Linked DNA regions of Lonchura striata. The protein of the gene in region 2 interacts with the protein of the main gene of each other region in a pairwise test. Links are inferred from orthologs where the notes say so. Each region holds a gene or a part of one and is shown on either strand. Other genes may lie near its edges.

Region 1 (3,747 bases), on a different chromosome or scaffold from region 2:
TTCCATTTATTATCTGCATACATTTGGGACAAAGCTTCCAACCTGGAACAAACTGCCTTCCAAACTTGGCACTTAGAAAAGCTGCATCGTCTAAGTCAATTGCTCGCAAGTTTTTCTTTGATAGTTTTCTGTGGATGTTGAAGGGGTCACAACAGGATTTCTGTAAGTCTTCAAACCGTTCAATGTAAATTTTGGCATGGTGGAGGCAGATTGTGTTGCTCTCTGACAGGGTTATCCCAGTCCTGAGCTGAAGCAGCAGCAGGTCAGATGAAGAGATGTCTTGTTTGGTCTTGAAGCCGGTGTGACGGGTGTAATAGGTCTTATGGCATTCATTGGTGGCTTGGAGCTGAACTCCAACTGAACAAGGATCCATTTTACTTTATCAGAATGTCTCTCATCTGTTTTGCCCAAAATAAATCTTTGAAGCCTTTAGGAGTTTCTGTGAAGATCACCCTAGAGAAAGCATTAAAATCCATCAGATTTGCAATGCAAACTTTTATCCATAAGTCTGACATACTGGATGTAAGTAATTTAAAAAACATGTAAAGAAATTATAGCCTTCTAGTCTAGATAAAGCTAAAAAGATAATAGATTTATTCTGGAATCAAACCATGTATTTTCTATTCCTTTCAGAGGCTTTTTTTTTTTTTTTTTTTGCTAAAATAAGTATCTATTCAAAATGTTTAGTTGCATGACTGTCTCAAAAGCAATCTGGGAGCAAGGTACAAAGTCACACAGCAGCCTGCTCTTGTCATTGGTTTTCCTGGGGACCCCCTCTCCTGGGACAATCCCTGCCAGCCAAGACCTGACTGCCCACAGAAAGGGACTGCTGATGGCCACACATTTTACCCATCCTGTTTCCAAGGAGCTTCTAAAGGGGAAAAAAGCTGCAGAAGGTGGGCTGCACAGGCTGGCTGGAGTCAGTCAGCAATTCCCACCCAGCAGCACTTTCCATGTGTATCAGGTGCAGGCCAACACCCTGGATCAAACCTGAGCCTTTCCAAGAACCAGGCTGGGCTATGCACCAAGATGGGCAGCTCCAGTTGTGTGCATTTTTGGGGTCATGTGGCCTTTGTGTGCAGCCCTCTGTTGGGCAGTTATTTCATAGTTATACACTAACATCAAACCAAATTACCAAATGCCAAGTGAGCTACTGCAGACTGATGTTGGAACCCTGGTTGCTGAGAATTTCAGACTTTCTATACTGGCAGGCACTGGCCCCCAGGAGAACTCTGCATGTGACCTGAGGCTGTGGAGAAACTTCTAAAATTGAATGACAGAACTGGGATTGCGGGTGTGGAGTTTGAATAGTGGTGTAGTTTGAATCACATGGTGAAAAACTCAAGAGTTTAAGGTTTTAGAATAGGGCAGTGGCTGGTCCTTCTCCACGGGTTTGGGTGGTTTTGTGTAATTGGATAAAGCAGTCCACATTGGTTATTGGGTTAAAAGTAACAATAATTTAGATGTCACACTCTGTTTGTTGCTAGCCCAGTGATGGCCCTAACACACCACAGCCTGAGCCCATCTTGCACTATTTTCACCTCAACATAAAAAGAAAGGAGTAATTTGCTCTCAAATCCTCCAAGAACCTTAATTACAATGAGAGTAGCTTAACTGGTAGGTTTATGTTCACCTATACCCTGTTCTGCAAAGGCAAAACGCAGACAAATGGAAAAGCAGGGTACTGGTTGTGTCCGAGAGGGAGTCAAACTATTCACAGTGGCTGGTGTGTGAATGATTTTTAAAATCTTTTTTAAAAGACCACCTATCAAACTTCACCATCTTAGTGAGCCAGCTCTAACGACAATCTTTTTTTGTTAGCTGCACAAAGTTTGTGTTCCAAGCCAAGGTAACTGGAGCCGTAAATGAGCAAAGTTCACTACAGCTGAATTAACATTTTAACAGCATTTAGGCAATACTAAGTAACTTTACTCGAAAAAGTCTGTTACATCACGCCTGCTTCAAGTGCTAAGGTGCATTTTTGACCGATTCCTGTGTGTGAGGTGGGGCTTGTGTGCATGGCTGAAACTCACCACATCAATAGACAAGTGACAGTCTGAATTTTCAAAATTAGCACATGGATTTTAAGTCAGGACTCTTGGACCATGTTCTTATAAGAAACCTAATTTGTCTCCTAGGGGAAAAAAAATCCCCAAATAATTATTACAACGTCAGGTATCTCTTCTACCCGCTGACTATGCTACGTGGTATTCCCTACATTAAACTGCAGAACATCTCACGTCTGTCACCTGGCTTTGTTCAAACGACAGTACTGCTGACGGAACTTAGGGATCGCTTAACGCGCAGCAATTCTCGCTGGCAGCTTCAGCGCGTTCCCTCCGGGCGGCAGGAGCACGCCGCTGCTTTTCCTGCCAGCTCACCGGGGCGGAAGGAGCAAAGCCAGGCCCCGCGGCCCGCAGGTGTGTGCCCCTGCCGACGGCCGCCCGGCGCTGCCGCAGCCCGAGCGCTGAGGGGCCAACAGCGGCGAGGAGGAACGGGCCCCACACGGGCCTTCCAACGCCCGGGCACAGAGCCCGGCCCCTCGGGGCCGCCCCGGTACCTCCCCGCGGGCTGTGTGCCGCCGTGCCGGTACCTCTCCGCGCTGTGTGTGCCGCCGTGTGGGCTCCCGGCCTGCGCCCGGTCCCTGCGCGCCGCCGGCGGGCGGCGGCCATCAGCGGCGGCTGCGCCCCCAGAGAGCGGGGCGGGGGCGGCACTTCCGGCCGGCGGGCGGCACTTCCGGCCGGCGGGCGGCGCTTCCGGCCGGCGGGCGGCGACAGCGGCACCTGGCGGCGCGGAGCCCGGCCTCAGGGGCCCGGTGTTCGCCGGCCTTTCCCAGTGTTCCCCGGCCTTTCCCGGTGTTCGCCGGCCTTTCCCGGTGTTCGCCGGCCTTTCCCGGTGTTCCCCGGCCTTTCCCAGTGTTCCCCGGCCTTTCCCGGTGTTCGCCGGCCTTTCCCGGTGTTCCCCGGCCTTTCCCGGTGTTCCCCGGCCTTTGCCGGTGTTCCCCGGCCTTTGCCGGTGTTCCCCGGCCTTTGCCAGCGCTTCCCGGGGCCGGTGCTGAGCGAACGCGATCGGCGCGGCCGTTGAGCGGAAGGTCGCGGCCTGCTGCAGGCTCCGCCGGCACTGACCGGGCTCGGGGCCGGACCGGGGCTCGGGAGTGCCCTGTGCTGTACCGGGAATGCCCTGTGCTATCCTGGAATGCCCTGTGCTATCCCGGAACGCCCTGTGCTATCCCGGGAATGCCCTGTGCTATCCTGGGATGCCCTGTGCTATCCCGGAACGCCCTGTGCTATCCTGGGATGCCCTGTGCTATCCCGGAATGCCCTGTGCTGTACCGGCAGTGCCCTGTGCTGTACCGGCAGTGCCCTGTGCTATCCCGGGAATGCCCTGTGCTATCCCGGGAGTGTCCTGTGCTATCCCGGGAATGCCCTGTGCTATCCCGGGGGTGTCCTGTGCTGTACCGGGAGTGTCCTGTGCTGTACCGGGAGTGCCCTGTGCTGTACCGGGAGTGCCCTGTGCTGTACCGGGAATGCCCTGTGCTATCCCGGAGTGCCCTGTGCTGTACCGGGAAGCCCTGTGCTCTCCCGGGAATGCTCCGTGCTATCCGGGGAGTGTCCTGTGCTGTACCGGGAATGCCCTGTGCTATCCCGGAGTGCCCTGTGCTGTACCGGGAAGCCCTGTGCTCTCCCGGGAATGCCCTGTGCTATCCCGGGATGCCTTGTGCTGTACCGGGAATCACTTGTGCATCCC
Region 2 (3,747 bases):
GAAGTACAAAGCAGATGCTAGACATCAAAATCTTCCGCAGGACCTTGGGTCAGATGAGAGCTCTAAGTCATGTAAACACAGCATTCCCATCCCCAGAATAATCACATTTCTACCCCCCGCGACAAAATTGGCAATATCTACAAGATTGGAAATATCTTCCCAATTATTTAAGCACATTATGTTGATCTCTACCGTTTTAAAGTGGTGGCAAAAAAGAAGCGACAAAAAAGCAAAAAAGCACCCTCCCCGCTTTTTAAGAGTAGGTTATATTTTTGCCCCTGTGAAAAACATCTTTACGTAGCCACAACACCAACACTCGCAAAGGCAACGCAGCTGAAAATTTCAAAGAGAGATATAAAACTTTATTTTCACATTTCGAAAAGGGCAGCAACAATTCAACGCTTCCTACGGCAGCAGCGCAGCCAGCAAGGAAGAAGAGCAGAGACCAGCAAGGAGGTTACGCAACTGGCGCACGTACCAAACGCTTTAATTTACGACACATTAATGAGCAGAGCGCAGCCCGCCCCGACCAGCGGGCCCACCCGGCCGCTCCCCGCTCTCCTCCCGGGCCCAAGATGGCGCCGGCGCCCCTCACGCCGGACAGCCCGCCCCCGGCCCGCCCCTCCAACATGGCGGACGCACCTCCAGTCCCTCGGCCGTGCCCCCGCCCCGCCAGCGCCGCCTCTCCGCCGCCCGCGGCCCCGCCCTCCCTGCGCCTCCATTGGCCGGTGCCACCGCCCCTCCTGCCGCTGCAACCAATGGGAAGAGAGAGACGGGCGGTGCGCGCGGCCCCGCCTCTTGTGGGACCGCCCACATCCAGGCTCCCGCGCTCCCCGGCGGGGTTGCGCCCCCTGGCGGCCAGCAGCGCGCGTGCAGCGTTGGAGGAGGAGGAGGAGGAGGAGGAGGAGGAGGAGGGAAGAAGCAGAAGAAGGCGGCGGGGGTCGGGACGAGGCCCCGAGGGGTGCGGGAGTGACCTGGGGCCCGACCCCTGGCCGCAGGCACGCCCCATGCCAGCCTCCCAGCCCCACAGGCGCCCCGGCCCCTGCCCGCCGGCCCTCGGCGCGGGCCCTGCAGCCGTGGCGGAGCGCGGCGAGACCCCGACCTGAGCCGGGCTCGGCGCCGCCCCGGCGCGGCACAGCTCTCCGGGCAGCGACCCCGCAGCATGGAACAGAAAAGCAGTAAGCCTTTAAAAATATATATATATATACGTATATATATATGCGTGTTTGGGGCAGCCATTTGTTTTGCAATAAACATTTTTAGGAATCAACTGTCTTAACCTATTTTCCCGTTCAACTAAATGAAGAACCCAGAATGAATGGCAAGGCTTGGGGTTGATTTCTTTTTTCAGTTACGGCACAGAAAAGATTAAGTAGCTAACGTAAATAAGGCATGTTTTACGCTGTCTGTGTCATTATGGGCTGCCCAGGCAGGTGGTGGAGTCACCGTCCCCGCATGTGTTTACGGGAAGACTGAATGTAGCACTCAGTGCCATGGTCTAGTTGGCATCCTACAGCTCGGTCATAGGTTGGACTGGATGATCTCAGAGGTCTTTTCCAACCTATTTGATTCCGTGATTCACGGAGATAAAAATTTGGAATCTTCAATGTGGTTGAAGAATGTTGTCTTACTTCTTAGTATTCTTGCAGTGAAGGGTATCTTGCATTTGTCAACAAACAGAATCAGTAATTTATTTACCTAAAAAAAGCTTTCCTTTTTTCCCTCTAAATAAATTGATTTAGTTATAGTATTGCTGTACTGAGCACATCAATTTAGGAAAAAAAAAAAAAACCAACAACAAAAAAACAACTGTGGGTTAATGGGCAAAGGAGTTGTGTAAGCTCAACTGAATGTGCTGGAAAGTTTGGGTCATCTTGTGACAGCTTCATGCCTCAAAGACAGTAAGACATGACCTAAGTAAAAAAATTTCCTCACATTGCTTGTTTGAGTGTTCCTCAGCTAGATCTTGACAAGGCGTGGGATGACTGTTTGAAAGGGGAATAACTATTCCACACAACATATTCTCACACTGTGCTCCTCCTGATACCCACTGTAGTGTATAAATTTTGAAAAGCTGAGTCGCTACAACTATTTTAATTTCTCACCCGATCTCTTACTTGTCCATTCTGTACCTCTTGCAGTGCTGTGTGACTCCTTTGAAGAGGAGAACCTTAACAGTTCCAGGGAGGAGAGCACTGAAGGTAGTGTAATCTGGATTAATGGAGCTAAAGAGGAAAGGAGTGTGTATTTGGCAGTCATTCTGATATGAAAATTACTATTGGAAGACAATAGCTTTGCCTTTTATGGTGTAAGAGGTTTGTCGGCAGCACTACAGGAAACACGCACCCAGGTTGTTTGGTGGCTGTAGTAAACCCTGACCTTGGCTGCTTGTTGCTTGCTCTAGCATCACTCCCCTGCACAATGCTGGGTAAGAAAAGAGATATGTGGTCACAATGATTCTATAAAGGGAAAAGAAAATCCCTCCAGCCAGATGCCAGTACACACCCTGATCTATCAGCTGGAGAGATGGTTCTGAATAATGACAAGGTAGATGTATCTGGTGGCTGCTCATTCCCTGTCCTTCTGGCTGTGATTGGTGATAGCAGCATTAGCACTGGAGAGATTAGTGGTGTGGACATTTCATTTTTTGAAATGAAAATTATACTGTCATCTTCAAATGCAATCTTTGCTTCTCCATGCAAAGCAAAGCTTTTGCTACTGGAGTTTTGGGTCACTACAGCATGAGAACTGGGGAGTCATTTCCGAGGTGAGTGTTTCATTCCCCTATGGCCTACAAATTGTTATAGCTGTGGACCCAGAAACAAGAAGCTGTTCTGTCACCCATCCTCTAAAGTAATCCATCCACCAGTGCTATCCAGATTTAATCAATGTATGGAAATATTTGAAAATATGTAATGAATAAGGACAGCAGTTTTAATCTGCAATGGAGAAACTTATTACTACACGTTCTAGATGTTTATTTTTAATTGAATGTATTTTTAAATTTTTGTTTTAAATGCAAATATTAAATATAGTTTTTGTTATTTTAAAGTTGTAATAATGTCATGCACAGCAAAACGGTGTGAATGGCACAGGGCAGGTGGTGTCTCTTGGACCAGTATTGTAGGTTTCCAAAAATTGTTGTTGCTTTTTCTGTAATTGTACTTTAACCTTTCCACATGTTTAAAAAAAATAATGTTAATATAATAGATAATTAAATTTTGTCAAGAGATAATGCCAAATCAGACTATTTCACAAGAAAAAGTACTTTTATCATTGCCTGCTGATATTAAGTATTATGCCTTTAGGTGCTGGTGACACGAGCAGCAGGGGTTGTGGTGACAAAAGATTGTCACTTCTTTCACTGCTGTCATGGGGCTTTTGAGAGTAACCACACTGCCATAGCATCACTGGGCTTCTGGTATCCTGGGCAACAGAAGTCATTCTCTACGAAGTTAAAAAATGAAGGAATATTTTTTTATATAAGAATGCAGCCTGATAAGAATGTAGTATTTCTTGACTGCTGAGAAGGTGTCATCCCTGCACATTTGCCAACAGAGATTTGCTGTCTGAAAGTGGAATGTAAAACCTGTGTGACAGTGTGACTCCACCTCTAGAAATGGAGTAGGAGAACAGATTTGCTTATGCTTGGTCTTTGAAGAAGAGCAACATTAACTGAGAAAGAGCTGGTTCTTTCTTCTGTCATCATCTTTTGACATACTGAAACATATTTCCTTTTCACAGTCC

What was found.
Region 1: the proteins of SETDB2 (region 2) and ARL14EP interact in binary tests that used the Homo sapiens proteins (3 or more experiments, as listed by UniProt). The two-hybrid records come from large-scale screens. The link is inferred for Lonchura striata from reciprocal best matches to the Homo sapiens genes SETDB2 and ARL14EP.

Annotation. Positions count from the first base shown.
Region 1 is NC_134608.1:61,357,902-61,361,648, forward strand, and holds the start of ARL14EP (ARL14 effector protein), read right to left. Parts: upstream 2,725-3,747; 5' UTR 2,594-2,724; intron 2,567-2,593; exon of another isoform or gene 2,382-2,566; intron 454-2,381; 5' UTR 374-453; coding exon 1-373.
Region 2 is NC_134604.1:62,438,635-62,442,381, forward strand, and holds the start of SETDB2 (histone-lysine N-methyltransferase SETDB2), read left to right. Parts: upstream 1-905; 5' UTR 906-1,162; coding exon 1,163-1,178; intron 1,179-2,141; coding exon 2,142-2,201; intron 2,202-3,747. UniProt on the Homo sapiens protein: Histone methyltransferase involved in left-right axis specification in early development and mitosis. Specifically trimethylates 'Lys-9' of histone H3 (H3K9me3).